Linked DNA regions of Arabidopsis thaliana. The protein of the gene in region 2 binds, or shares a complex with, the protein of the main gene of each other region. Each region holds a gene or a part of one and is shown on either strand. Other genes may lie near its edges.

Evidence for each region.
Region 1: AUG4 (region 2) and AUG2 share a complex: the UniProt entries of both Arabidopsis thaliana proteins name them as parts of the augmin complex.

Annotation. Positions count from the first base shown.
Region 1 is NC_003071.7:13,995,774-14,003,425, forward strand, and holds AUG2 (HAUS augmin-like complex subunit), read right to left. Parts: upstream 4,177-7,652; 5' UTR 3,943-4,176; coding exon 3,820-3,942; intron 3,488-3,819; coding exon 3,362-3,487; intron 3,203-3,361; coding exon 3,098-3,202; intron 2,825-3,097; coding exon 2,756-2,824; intron 2,638-2,755; coding exon 2,524-2,637; intron 2,150-2,523; coding exon 1,796-2,149; 3' UTR 1,552-1,795; downstream 1-1,551. Other genes in the region: GH9B8 (glycosyl hydrolase 9B8), read left to right, coding at 7,588-7,652. UniProt on the Arabidopsis thaliana protein: Contributes to the assembly of the acentrosomal spindle and phragmoplast microtubule arrays as part of the augmin complex.
Region 2 is NC_003070.9:18,782,237-18,790,260, reverse strand, and holds AUG4 (HAUS augmin-like complex subunit), read left to right. Parts: upstream 1-2,458; 5' UTR 2,459-2,645; coding exon 2,646-2,780; intron 2,781-2,861; coding exon 2,862-2,909; intron 2,910-3,056; coding exon 3,057-3,182; intron 3,183-3,270; coding exon 3,271-3,603; intron 3,604-3,761; coding exon 3,762-3,858; intron 3,859-4,008; coding exon 4,009-4,054; intron 4,055-4,394; coding exon 4,395-4,488; intron 4,489-4,684; coding exon 4,685-4,756; intron 4,757-4,831; coding exon 4,832-4,890; intron 4,891-4,973; coding exon 4,974-5,042; intron 5,043-5,137; coding exon 5,138-5,189; intron 5,190-5,298; coding exon 5,299-5,376; intron 5,377-5,479; coding exon 5,480-5,542; 3' UTR 5,543-5,752; downstream 5,753-8,024. Other genes in the region: AT1G50720 (Stigma-specific Stig1 family protein), read left to right, coding at 617-1,081; CPK33 (calcium-dependent protein kinase 33), read right to left, coding at 5,876-5,950, 6,036-6,135, 6,231-6,604, 6,686-6,801, 6,895-7,047, 7,149-7,292, 7,366-8,024. UniProt on the Arabidopsis thaliana protein: Involved in microtubules reorganization during spindle and phragmoplast development.

The sequences.
Region 1 (7,652 bases), on a different chromosome or scaffold from region 2:
GGAAGATATATAAACGCGTGGGATAAGGTCCTTCTTTGGCAGGCGCGTGTAGTTTCCTATTTTCTTCAAATTACATAATGGTCCTTTGAGACTTGATGTCTTCTGAAAAGCCGCAAACTAATAATGCATCTTTATTCAATGAGCACTAAAATGGTATTTTCTCGCATCATGAAAAATTGATATTATCTGTAACATATTTGCATGATTGTCAAATATTTTTGAGACTGTTAGATTTAGATTTTGTTGTTTAGATTAGAATATGTTTTGTAGATTCGATTCTTTTGTATAATTTGTCAAATGTCTTACAGAAAATGAACAAGAAATAATGAATTGTAAACAACAAAATAAAAATAAAAATCAAAAATGAAGCAATAAATCAAGAATTTAAGACATGAAAATAGGTGTCGAGAGTGGGAAATGGACGCATGGACAATGAATTGACATTTGACATTAAAGTTATGCTTTGAAAAGTGTATCATCGACATTTAAAGTTGCGAGAAATACGAATATTCATCGCCTGCGTCGGTACATTAATCGCTTGCACATATTTATTCGTTTCATTTAATTGCACGCATCCGAAATTTAATATATACTTGAAATGTGAGAAATTAAATAATCTCAATTTGTGTGTCTGGAAAATGTGTAATAATGAGTATAATCGCTAAACCGAATAAACCAGAGGTTGGTCTGATATTTTGGTTATATGAAAGAGTCAATTTAAAAGGACACGCGTTCGGGCGCGTAAGGATAAGGAGTGGGCCAGGAACAAATCAAAATTTGGACGTATGTGATCGATTCTGTTTCGAATACAAAAACCACGGAAATATATAGATAGAGCTCGTGGGTGGGTCCTTAACGCCGCTTTATTAATTTTAGCTACGTAATTATTGAGTAACCAACGCAAGTGATGTCTCTCAGTTAATCTATATAAACCTATATATGATGCATTATTGCAATTTCACGTTACATGCATTATATCAATACTCTAACAACAAAAGTGTGTTCCATTTTAATATGAATATTGAGATCGATCATCCAGATTCAACTACTTATTTGATTTCATGTAATAATTTTCCATCAGATAACTTTGAATAGTTGAATATAATAGTCTTTCATGTACTGTATATCATTTAGAAATGTTGGCCATGGATTGGCAGTGAACCTATGCAATCTAATCTGATATGAATTTTATATATAAGTGGTATTTTTTTTATTGCAAACACTTTTGTGGTTCGTTTTATAGTTTTAAATAGTGATGAGTTTTACAGTTTAAATATCATGTAAATGATATATGAGGTTTTATTGTCCAATTTACACAAACTACTTTTAAGACCAGACCGGGCTATGTAACTAGGTGGCTAAAATATGATTAGGTGCCACCGGTTCTCAATTAAAGTTGTCTTAAATTCATGGTCTACTCTCTACAGTCTACATACTACAATATTTAGACCATACGAGTTATTTAGTGGAACGATTGTGCCTATGAATGCTAATCCTTTTTTTATAGACCCCTCTTTAGATTTCTCGACTAAAACAATTCCCACATCTATGAAATATTTTAATTTTGCGGTAGTTTTGCCGCGGTCTGCCGCAGCCGCAAGCGGCGAACAAACGAACAGACTAAAATATGATAGTCACATGGACCATGAAAACCAGTGTTAACAAAATATACACTGTTTTAAGTTTCACTCAAAGACTATCAAATAGAAATAAGTAAATCCATAAAGAACACTAATGCTGATGAAACAAAACACGATCGATATTAAAAAGCTCAAGCAAAGACAAAAGCAACTGTTTAAACGCTACTCTTTTTTACAGAAGGAGGCCAAGATAGTCTCCGGTTCCCATTGTTATTACCATCTTCTTCTTCTTCTTCTTCTTCTTCTTCTTCATTTTGATCATTGTTTTGTCTCCTTGTTTTATGAACAGCTAAATCGTCGAAGCTTGACTCTATCCTCCCTTGAGGTGGAGTCACACAATCTGAGTCTCTATGTGTCATTTCGTTACCTCCTGGTGTTGTTGGTAAAGAAACTGCAGAGTTACCAACTCGAAGCTCTTGAAGAGTCGCGAATGATTCTCTCATCGCAGACATGGCCTCAAAGAATCTCGTGCATGACGCTAGTGCCACAGGTATTGGACGCAGCATTTCCTATAATTTTGTTGGGGAAAAAAAGAGTAGAGAGATTGAGATTATAGCATGTAAAACCGAAATCAACAACTGTTATGCAACACATTACGTAAAAGTAGCAATCTCCTTCTCTCTTGATGCAAAGAGTTTAAACACATAGAAATCTAATTCAAGGACCTGATGACACAACTGATCCTTCTGCAATGTATTCTATACAGTTAACGCATGGCGTAGTGTAATACAGTGCTTTCCTCTTACACTATGAACAATGTATTAGATTCCAACTGAAATGAGTAATCCAATGTATGCAACTAAACATGTGGAGTTATGTCTGAAAGTCAAAGATGTAAATGGAAAAAAAATCAAGATGCATGTAAAAGAGAGTAAAATCGTACCCCCCAGACTGAAGGAGGTTCTTTAAAGTTTTGGCTCCACTGAAAATCAGACACGGATGCTGTTAAGGCGCCATAATCACTGGCGGCTTTCATTAGCAACTCTGAGAATTGTTTCTGAAAAACAAAGCAGAACAAAGCCATTAAACATAGCATCTTCGTTTTCCAGTTGTGCAACTTCAGATACTAAATAAGGTCCTCAAAGTTGCAAATAGTATAAAATGGCATGAATCACCTGATATTCTGCTTCAACTGGAATGCAATCTAGCGAATAAGGTTGTTGGAGACGAGCAATGATGCGATCCTGTTATATAAACAGACAAATGATGTAATAAACTTCAACTAGAGGGTCACAAATTGACTAAAAGATAAGGCAGTCTTAAGACGTACTCAGAAGCTAATGTTTCGAAAACATCTTAAGGAATTTTCTCAATTTTCAGAACGATAGTGAATAAGAGGGATATCGCTTAAAGACAGAAAAGAGAGATAAATGAACTCGAAAGATACATAAACCTTAGTCCAGAAAAAAAAGAGAGAGAAGATTTTAGAGGTAAGTAGAAAGGAAAAATGATCCTACCTTGTTTTGTATAACATCTTTCAATATTTGAGTAATCCTTGACAAAGTCTCGATTTTCTTTTGCATTTCACCAACATGAGTCAAATGCGCCACATTTTTATCATCCTGAAATTCGCCAACAAAAGAAGTTATATACAAAGCATCTAACAAAAGTTGTTACATGAGATATACCAATAAGTTATCATAAGGCTTCAGGCAATGCAAATACTATGATCCATATCTTATTTCAATTTGAAAAAGAAACCAAAACCATGAGAAAGATACCTTCCTCCCTTGAAGCTCGACCTGCAAGTCTGCAATTTTCCTTTGAACAACAGATAACTCTCTCAATACCCTTATCAAATCATCACCTCTTTCCCCATTCGAAGACGCAAAGCTTTGTAATTCTTCCTACATCGGAAAATGATTGAGCCAATTGAAGAGATAACTAACCATAAATATTCTCTACTTGATGAAAAATTCAGATTCAGTATATAAAAGCCAAGAGATCAAAGATCTAATCAAAACATATGGTCCAGAGATTCGCAAAACTAACAAGCAGCTAAAATTCCTCATTCCTCAGAAACATAATCTCCTTCAAATTATAGATCTCTCATACGCATTGTTCTGCAAAGTCAATCTAATAGCATACAACCCAAAGCATATGCTATACTCAAGCTAATGGAACTAACCGGAGACGCAATTCCGATTCGGATGAGATTAAAGTGAACAAGAGAAGTTACCTGCGACGGAGGAGGAGCGACGGCGAAACCGAGATCGGAGGCGATAGAGAGAGCATCAGATAATCCACCGATGCGTCTGATCGGCTTCTTCCCAACCCACGTCGTGTCGCCTCCCATCGACATCTTTCGACGAGCTTTCCGGAGATTAATTCGACGGTGGCGGATCCAGATTGTTATATATAAAACCAAATTCAAAAATATTCAAAAACTTTTCGTCATGCCATTAAACTCTTTTCTTTTTTTCCTACTTCAGTAATTTATACTTTACTTTTGTATATGTAAAATTGTAAGTCATCCAACAACTTCACAAAAATACATCTGAAGAAGAACCGAAGACCAAAATGGGCTTAGCCCAGAAATATGCTGAAGATAGCCCAACATGCTATTACGGACGGTCGAGAAATATGGACACTGAGATCTGCTACGTGACGGAACGAAAGCAACCCGACAAAAACCAACCAATGTAATAGAAACTAGTGGTTTGTATTAGTATTGTTGATATGCCATTATGAAAAAATGTTGTTGAATAACGAGAATTTAAATATATTTGTATTTAGAAATTATAACATCAATATATGGTAACCTTGATATGGATAAAAAAAAAAAAAAAAAAATGTTTGGTGTTTTTCAATTAGTCTTTCCCTTTTTCATTTCTTTGTACAATACATAAAGCTTTTTACGAGTTATATATTAAGTTTCTTTTTTATATATATAAAGAAATCATGAGCTGAGCTGTATATAAATTCTTAGCTTATTTCTAAATTAATAAAGCTTGAATCTTTCTTAAGATTGTTTTTAATAAGATTGCTCTGAGAAGCTTCTAGCTTATGGCACGTTTATTAATTGTAAAGTCGAAACAATGTGAGACCGTCGGTGGGAGATTTATGAAATATGGAACGTCTAGAAGCAAAAAAACATATTTTGATCTAATAAAAAGTTCTTCACTTTATACTAAAAGACTCTTTAATATCAAAGATTTGACAGATCTGGTTATTAACATATTTATTAACTAAAAACATTGGGATTTGATTGTTACATTTATTTATTTTATACCTTGCATTTAATATTCTGCATTATTATGGATCGCCAATTTTTTTATTCTGCATGGATTTAAGAGAGAGAGGGAGAGAAAACAAAACCCATGCATAGAAATTTCATCGACCGACTCTTGTCATATGAATCTAAAATAATTATCAAGAAAAATAAACACATCAAATCTGCTTAAATAAACAAGAATTTAAGTTTTCCCAAATGAAATTAAACCATCCTTTCCCAAATGAAAGTTTGAACTCAGCACCAACAACAAGCAAAATTCAATCCTTCTCGTACTCACCAAATAAGCTAGACATATGGGGTTAATAAAGTTTATTCGCAGCTCATTTGGTTCCTTTATGATATTATACTCAAGCTAAGTAATGGGTTCGATTCCCATCTTCTCATTTCTTTATCAAAAAACAAGTAATAAAGTTCCTTAAATATTGTCTTAAAATACTATCGTAGTAACTAGTAAGGTGGAATATATAGTGTAACTTTGGAGCTTGAGGTCGTCGGTGATGTGCTGGTACGAAGAGACACGTGGCGCTCAATCATTTGAAAATAATTTAGTTTTTTTCTTTCTTTTGGAATATGGGAACCACCAACGACAACATTATTAATTCCATAGATTCGGAGTTAATTGAGCGGGTTGCACGAACCACACCACACACCAGATGCCGAATAAAATTTTATGCATAAGCTAAGCGAATAATCAATGCATAGTTAAACTTTATAAGACTGATATTTAACGACTGGATTATCACAACTAAGAGGCGTTTTATTTGTTTTAAACATTTTAATTAAGTTATTAATGGTTTGCGACTCAAGACGATAGGAAACGACCATCTTTTTCTACTCATGAATATTTGAAAGAATATTGTTCTTGCGACAACTGATCAAGCTACTATCTTTGAAAAGAACGTTCTTCTGCCAGTCTACTGAAGAATAACTCAAAAAATGCACTTGGGGCTCACTGATTTTTAACAACATTTCTTTTTATATACATCCTTTGAAAGAAAACTGAATCGTAGCAAAAACTAGACTAGGAAACTGAAAAAAAAAAAAAAAAAAATTAAGAGGAAGACTAGGAAAACTGAAAAAGAAAGCTTTATTAAACCAGCATGCAACACAACTTAATCATATGAATTACTTTGTTTTTTTCCACATTAGTTGCCGTCTGATTAATTTAACACATTTGAAACTATAGTCATCTTTTTGAAGAAAAAGTTCACTAATAAAAACAGAGAAAATCCATTTAAAAAAAAAAGACATTTTAAAAGAATATCGAGTAGGATTTTTAATGTAAACTTTATATAAATTTTATAATATAACATCAAATCGAAACTAATTTTAAAAACTAACTTTATTTTATAAAAGATACAGTATAATGAAAGTGTATAAACGAATTTTGTTGTGGATCAACATGAAAATTAATTAGTTTGTCAACAGCTATTCATATAGTTAAATGATACAAGTAATGATAAACAAATAAACGCATGTTCCCCGTTAACAATTTTTACGTCTCCATGCTTAGTGGCGCTAATCACCTTTTTGGTTCGCTCAAGTCAAATTATTTTGACCAAGTTGTCGGTCGAGCTAGCTCGAAGGTAACAAATAGTTAGGCCCACTTTGAAAATGTCGGTGCTCGGAAAAAAGATAAACCGCTAAATTAAACCGGTCATCATGAAACTCCGGAAACCTGAATTACTGCCAAATTTATGGTTGTAGGCACTGCACACGTGTAGGTGTCTCTTAGTCCCCATTGTCATACCCCTCAGTTTTTATTGGTGGTGGGCAAACTTATATTAAGATGACCCAGGTCCATCTTTCAAACCCATTTAGATCCATCCTATATTTTTGAATGTTTGGTGTTTTTGCTTTAGATATCAATAGAGGTGAATAAATTAGTATTCATACTCTGCAGATTTGAGTTTAACATTTGTGATAGTTTTTGTAAACTTTATAATTTGTAACAGTGAACCCAGCCAAAACCAAAGTTTTGATTTGAGAAATTAGCCTTACTATTCACGATTCTCTCGCCTAACACAGCAGCCTTAACGACAGAAACAGAAACGAATCTCTGCCTAGCAATGACATTCTACGGTTCCGAAAATTTATTAGTATTAATTGGACCGTTTCATGGAAACTTGAAATAATTAAGAGAAACTAATTAAGAGACAAAATCGTCCACTTTAACTGTTACACTATCAACAACTGACACTCTCCTTCTACTTTTCAAAATTACACAAGATCGCTAAATACATTGAAATTATCACCACCTTTTGAAACAAAAATTGAAATCATTAGGAAAAGTATCATAAAACACCCTCTCACACAGTACAAATGTAAAATTTCAACAATTGTAAATAGTATGTAAAATGACTTTACTACATGCACTTTTAATTAATTCGGTCTAGATTTAGCACAGTAAAAGCAATAACTAGCTGCATAAATTACGGCCATTACCACTATATGGAAAAAGCAAAAGTCTCCACATTTTCTCATGTGGAAATATTTTAGATTAAAAACAAAAGTTAACCATAAAAACAAAGTCACGTCATCTCTCTCCTCCACCACTCCACAGAGCTTTCAAATATATCCCTCTCCTGCGAGAGCAGAGAAATAGAGAGAGACTAGTGAGTGAGAGAGTCCATCGCTTTCTTTCTTTCTCTCTCTCGCTCTCTCTTCATCTCCAACAGAGACTTCTTTCTAGAGAAAGAGATCTTCACAAATATGACTGTGATGAATCACCGACACAAGCAATGTCATTTTCTCCTCCTCCTTCTGATCACTGTCTT
Region 2 (8,024 bases):
AATTAAGAGATGAATATTGTCGTTAAATGATTTTGGTAACCTTAATAACGTCATTAAAGATTTTTTTTTATTAAATTTTTCTAATGGCATTGTCATGTAATTAATTACAAAAATTAATGTTACATTTAAAATGTACTTCCCAAATAATATAGTAGGATATATAGTTAGTGATCCAATGCAGAATTATATAAGTGATGATAAGAGTAAAATATATGGAGTCAAATAGCTTTAATTTTTGATGAACATACATATATGTTTCCCGCTTCCTTCGTTCATAATTGGATCTAAAGATATAAACTTATAATAACCAAGACCCGAAAAAATACACAAACTTACGTTACCGGACAAAATAGTTCTTTTGAATATAAACTTGAACTTTCAAAATTCTTGGAAAACTAATTACAAATTTTTTGGACTTTGTGATAAAAATATTCAACATTAATGAAGAATTATTTAAACGTACTTTACTCAATTTCCATCACATGCATAGCTACTACAGAATAATACGACTCGTCAAACTTTATATAAACTCTATTTCCCTCGTCCTTAACAATACATTTCACGATCCCAAATCTCTCTTTCTCTCAACTTCTCTTTTTAACAAACGAAAAAAGACATGGGGCATAGAAATACCGTATTGACAATACTTCTAACCATTTCTATAGCCATAATGGTACTCATTGCTACAGTATTTGTTAGCAACAACAAAACAGAAACGTTGTTACAAACGCATACGCAGACGCAAACGCTAATTACAACGGGAAGGGTGAGCCGTTTCTTAGCGCAAAACGCAAAGAACGGTCGTAATCTTAACGCAGCGGATCATTGCAATAAAGAAGAGGAGATATGCAAGAGTCAAGGAATGTACAACTCAACCATGGCGTGTTGTAGCAACAAGTGTGTTGATCTGGCGTACGATAACGATAACTGTGGCGCATGTAAGAACCAATGCAAGTTCACGCAGACTTGTTGTAGAGGAGAGTGCGTTTACTTAGCTTATGATAAGAGGCATTGTGGGGAGTGCAACCATAGTTGTTTGGTTGGTGAGTTTTGTGTCTATGGGTTGTGTAATTACGCATGATATGTGATTAGTTAGTTTTTATATGTTAAACTTTGGTATTTTATTAGTGTTTTGTTTATTTCGATTTATAAATTTTAATCGATAATTTGATACGACTAGATTGGTTTTCTTTGTGATATGAGTTTGAATGTTTGATATTGCAAAAAGGTTCAAGAAATGGAGAACCATATAATAGATATTATTCCATATAACATCTATTATTCCATGGACCAATAATCTGGCAGTGCATGGCTTCATAAGCCTTTACTAACATATAAATCTCACAATTTATGAACCATATAATAGATATTATTCCATTTTACATATTAAAATATTCTATATGACAAAAAAGATAGTGATTTTCAAACATAAACTTTGTCTAGAGATGAAATATTATTTGAAAAAAAAAGAGAAGCTTAGAGATGACGCCTAAAGTTTGAAAACAAATGAAGAGAATATGCAAGAAAAAAAAACAAAGAAAAAAATCAAATTTATGAACCGTATAACATCTATTATTCCATTTTCTATATTATATGTGATGATATTTTGTTATTTAAGTGAATAATTGAAGAATTAATTATTAAATTATTTGATATTATAGATGTTTCAAGTAATTTATTTTGTTGATAGGAATGTGAATAACATTAAAGAAATGAAGAGTTGAGATTTAACAAAAGTTGAACCTAGCTATGAGAACTTTGCCAAAAAAAACAAAGTTTCAAAAAAAAGATTTTGAGTGTCAATCAACAAATTAACGAATCCAGAGAATCATCAAGGGGCAACGACTACATCTTCTTGCATTTTACTCATGGGATATTGTCCTTGAATCCTTCGGCTGGTGAACTTGACTGGAAAGAGGCTAAACACATTTTAAAAAGTCGGAAAATTCAGACGTTACACGATGATAAAGAGTACATGATATTTGGTCTAAGTAAAGATCACTACAATGAACAAATGTATGTCTCTTATGTTTATATACTTTTTATGTTCATTATTATAAGATATATTTCTTTGCTTTATTTAGGTTTATTCGAAAGTTTACAAACAAAAAACTAAGAATCGGTGAAGGTTAAGACTACGGTATATAAATATTTCACCAAAGTGTTGGGAATTAAGCTGAAATATTTAGGTGACTTTCCTTGTCTAAGGGATGTCGGCTCTGATCACCCGATTTACTTACCGATTGAGGTGATTTAAAAGATTTTCATATTAACTTACCACATTTTCATGCACACATTATGAACATCGTTGATAGCTTTTGTTACTACGTATCATGTAATTGATTTCGTTACTTAGTATAGGAGATTTATCTGAAGTTGACTGGCCCAAGGTAAAAAGTTAACTTATGCTTATTTGAGTCTTAAGTTAACTTTTTCTCGTCAGGCTGAACTTGTTCGGGTAACTTTTTTTTAAAAGATTTTGTTTTAACGATTTTCCCAAAATCTAAAAGAAGATAAATTATTAAGGGAGAGAATTGGCAATGGAGCGCCTGAGAATAAGTTTTTGAATCAACAGTCGCGGCAAAAGGTAGATCGAAGCAGATCTCTCGCTGGAAAACGTCACATTGAGGTATCTATCGCCGCCAATGGTGAAGGCACTGCAAGGCGCGGCTCAGAATCTACCGGCGGATGTCAACCAATTGATCGATCAGTTAGAGCGTCACTGTTTGGCTCCCGATGGATCTCTTGTTACCAAATCTGTCTACTCCGATCTCCAACTCGTAATCTCTCTTTCAGATTTTGTGTCCACAATCCCCTAATTCTCTTTAAGAGCCTCAAATGTTATTGTATCGACATTGCAGGCGAGAGAGGAGATGTCTCGGGAGAGACTTCGGTATTTGGAAGCTATGGTAACACTTTTATCTCTTCTTCCATTTTTGGGGTTTATTTTAATTTCAGGATTTTCTTCATTCACTTATTGAAGTTGAAGCTGATTAGTTCAAATTAGGGTTTGATTCAATCTAAGGACTCACATTATTAGTTTTTACAATTGTTAGGCTATTTATTGTGAAGCTGTAGCTATGGTTGAAGAATATCAGCAAGCTATTTCAGTAGCTAACCATGGGGGAATTCGTGATGTTCAAGGTCTATACCCTCAACTTGGCTTGAAGAATTCTCCTCAGGTTTCTAATCTCAAAAACGTGATTTTTTTTCTGGAATTATTTGTTATCTCGAGACTCATTTATGAGCATAATTGTTGATTTTTTTTAGGTTTATGAGACTCTAGAGCATAGGTTGGTGGTTGCTGAGGCGGCTCAGAAACTGAGGCTACCTCTTATTTCAGATGGTGGTGAAATTCATGAGGAAGAGATTGAAAAGTGGAGTATACTTTCAAGAAGCTCTCTTGATAGTGCAAGCACGAGTTTTACGATTAGCTCCACTTCTAACTCCGTGAACTATGCGAATAGCTCTGCAAATAGTGTTGCTGGTGGGATTAGTCTTAGTGCTGTTGATACTGACGTAGTAGGTGGTGTTCCGAATCGATTTCTTGGAATAACACCTGCTTACTTATCCTATGTTCAGCTTCAAAATACTATTTCCATGGTAATGTGAGATCATACTGTGCCTACTTTTGGTGTCTTCATAACTATGTTGTTCCTTCATCTGCTGATTGCGAAATATTTTTGCACCAATTCTTATGAAAGATTGGGTTATGGATATCTTTGAGTATCTAATTTTTTCTTTTAAATAACTTTGCTTAGGACATGGCTGACTACCAAATGTTTCTTGCCCGTGAGATAGAAGGTCGATTGAAGGAAAAATGTGATAAGTTGGCTGATGCCATTGTTGATGACACTGGTAAGATCTTCATTACTAGCAGACAGAGAAAGAGGTCTTTCGCTCCTTACCCAAATTCATTTGTTCCTGTCCAATGTGATACTTGGACTTTATGTTAAGTTGTGTGCCAATCCTGACTGTATTTTTCTTATACTCTTCATTAAATGACAGATTCGTCCACAGGAAATCGAAATTCAAGTGCTAGGCTCCCAGAAAGGTTAGCTTTATCACTATGGTTTAACTATGCCTAAAGACATCTAAAAGAAAAACTTAATAGCGTTATGGTTTTAGTGAAGACGGATGGCAACTGGCCTTTCTAGGGATATATATATCTACATAATGTGATATACATGTAAACATATGGTAGCGAAATGCAACTGAAAGCCTCTTTTAGATGATGGGATCATAGCCATAGAGAAAAAGTTATGTTCGTGATAGTATTCTGTTTCTCTGTAAAGTTTATTAAAAGTCTAGAAGGAACAAATGATTTTCTCACACTTAGCCATCCTCTTAAGCTCTCTAGTACCGATGAGTGACCGTGTTTTCTTGCATTTCAGGGTTAAGTTTATAATTGAGGAGATTGAAAGAGATGAAGCAGCTCTACGAGAGGACCTGTACTCGGCTGACAGGAAGTTTGCTGAATATTACAATGTAGGTGAAAAGAATATTCATATTGTATTATGCAAACCGAAAATCTAATTACTGGGCTGTTGCATGATATTTTACTAAATTTTTTTTTTTTATAGATAAATTTCTACATGTATATGAAAGCTACTACTTGTCAATTATCCATGTATCCCCTAGTTGTAGTAAGTTCTGATGACTGTTCGTTTTTATTCTGAACAAGGTCCTGGAACAAATACTCGGGGTACTTATAAAGCTTGTGAAGGATCTAAAGTTAGAACATCAACACAAATATGTAAGGGTTTCAGTGTTTTCCAATTGATTTAAATGCTGCCTGTTCATATATAGCTTACTCTATATATTGTCACAGAATGAGATGCAGAAGACTTGGTTGTGTAAAAGGTGTGAGACCATGAATGCAAAATTAAGGTATAATCTCATCCTTTACTGTTTAGGATCTAAATTTCAGGCTATTGCAGTAGTTAAGATATCTTATCTTTCTCTGCTTGAAGGGTTTTGGAAAATGTTCTCCTCCTTGAGACATACACCCCTGACTCCATATCAGCTCTGCACAACATCAGGTGCGGGAATCTATTTTCCAGACATGTTTCTTTCCATGTATTTGATAAATCCATGACCCCGTCTCTCACCTCCAAGCATTATTGTATTTTTTTAGGAATTATCTAGTCGAGGCTACCGAGGAAGCTTCAGCTGCATACAACAAAGCGGTTTGTGTCTTTATCCTCTCTTACATTGCTTAGCACTAAACCCTTTTGTTCAGTCTTCATTGGCATTTTACTCCCGATTAATTAACCGAGCCTGCGAAATGACACACAGGTTACTCGGCTTAGAGAATATCAAGGAGTAGATCCGCATTTTGATACAATTGCCAGACAGTACCATGACATTGTTAAGGTACAAGCAAGTCATTACTTAAGTCATTTCACCTTCTAAATTTGATTTGACTTGTGGGAATACAACAACACGAATTATAATGAGAGCTTTCATGGTTTTGCAGAAACTGGAAAATATGCAGTGGACCATTCATCAAGTAGAAATGGACCTTAAGTCTCATGACTGATCACTAGATTTGTTAACACTTGTGATATATGTATTAGCAAATCTAATCCTCCAAGAAAGATTGAACTGGGAGAAAAAATCAGTATAATTTAAATATACATCTAGCTATGTGGTCCACTACTTGTAATCTACTTACATTGTGTTATCTTCCTCTGTTATATACTTTTATTGGTCCTTCAAACCAAATGAGATGACCAGTTTAGCAGTACCAAAATAAATGAAAGCAATCATCTCTCTCTCTCTCTTTTCAACCTTAAATTTTTGCCTAAACAACAATAATAATACCACTCTTGTCTTTTTTGATTAGATTCAGACAGAAGACAAATAAAATATGTTAGAACAATCTTGGTTGTTGTGGATTCCCACTTCTCATCATAGCACAAAACTCGTCATAGTTGATTCTACCGTCCTGTAACAAGAAACAAAATTTGAGGTCAGAGAAAGAAAACGAAAAACGTTACAAGGGCGAAGAGCTTTAATCTTTTGGCTTTTACATTATCAGCGTCGACATCAGACAAAATCTCTTTGATAGTAGCATCATCTCCCATTCCATATTCCTTCAAAGCAGCCTCTAGCTCGTCTGTCGTAATGTATCTATTAAACACATTTTCAGTAATAGTCTCATCAATCATTGCTAACAAATCTATTTACATTGCAAAATGATTCATACCAAAAGAAAGATCACTTACCCACTCCCATCTTTGTCAAAATGTTGGAAGGCTTTGTAAACGTTCTCATTACTTTCAAGCCTATGTCTATGCATTGTTGCAGTAATAAACTCAATGTAATCTATTGACCCATTTCCATCAACGTCAGCCTGAATCACAAAAACCCGAATAGGAGTTTTTAAACATTCAAGAAGTAAATGAACGATCTTGTCTTGATCAAAACTTACAGCATCCATGAGCTGTTTCACTTCAGCTTCAGTGAGTCTTGATCCCAGTTTGGCTAATCCTTCTTTCAATTCTTCGTATGTGATAGTACCACTATTGTCTGTATCTATATTAGCAAACATCGCCTTTAAGCCTTGTATTTCTTCCGTGTCAATGTTCTCCGCAATGACCTGTGTCAAAATCAATCTGTAAGATGAAAGGTACAAAGGACTGTCAAATCTGGCAACAAGGTGTAGAATCTTTGATCTAACCTTTAAAGCAAGTTTCTTTAGTTTATTCATCGCTCTAAATTGCTTCATCCTTGAGAGAACAGCACTATCAATAGGCTTATCCGATGCTTCTCCACCTTCTCTTAGCCATGGATGCTCTTCAAAAGGTAAAACATCAACCATATTGTCAACATTCAAGTAAGTATACAAGAAGTTACCATAACCAACAAAGAATAAGATCGTTTACTTACTAAGAACTTCAGCAGCAGAAATCCGTCTTTTCGGATCTTGTGTCAACATTCTACGTACCAAATCTTTAGCACTATTGGAAATTGAGGGCCAAGGTTGGGATTCAAAGTCGATTTCACCTTCCAATATAGCATCAAATATCCCTTTCTCCGTTTCTACATTCCCAAAGCCAACAATCCATACTCATACACACATGCAACTACATTCTTCTCAAATATATATGAATCGAAATAACCGATAATTTCATCGCATTTACCAGCCCAAAACGGAGGCACACCACTAAGTAGAATGTATAGTATAATTCCAGCACTCCATATATCGATTTCTTTACCATATCTCCGCTTCAAAACTTCAGGAGCAACATAATATGCACTCCCAACTATATCTTTATACACTCTCCCTGCAAAATAAACCATCATGAATGAACCAATTCCAAAAGACATATCACCAATACAACAAAAGATGTAATATACCTTCTTCGATAAAGACTGATAATCCGAAATCAGTGGCTTTGATAAGAGCCTTCTCATCTTTGCTAGATAACAAGAAATTCTCAGGCTTTAAGTCTCTATGCATCACACCCATGAAATGACAAATATTGACAACATTAACAATCTGTCTACAAACAGAAGCAGCTGCTCTCTCACTGTAATGTCCCTTTGCTAAAATCCTATCGAACAATTCACCACCAGCACAAAGCTCCATAACCAAATTCACAGCTTTCTCATCTTCATAAGCTCCTTTAAACTCAACAATGTTAGGTTGTCCACTCAAATGCTGCATAATCTGAATCTCTCTCCTCATATCTTCTTTATCACCTTTCGTCACAAGTTTCTTCTTGGAAATCGACTTGCAAGCGAATCTCTTCCCCGTCGACTTCTCTGTGCACAGATACGTTACTCCAAACTGGCCTCGACCCAATTCTTTGCTCAAAGTGTAGAACAGTTTCACGTCTTCGTACGGCTTCTCGAGTATAGCTGCAGCACCACTGTGTTTCGCTGGATTCCGCCAAGGTGGTGGTTGATTCGTTCCGGTGGATATTTTAGACGGATCTTGGTGGGTGCTCCTTCTTCTGTTCTCGATCTCAACTGATCTTTCACCATTTTGTTGTGGTTTCATCACCAATCCGTAT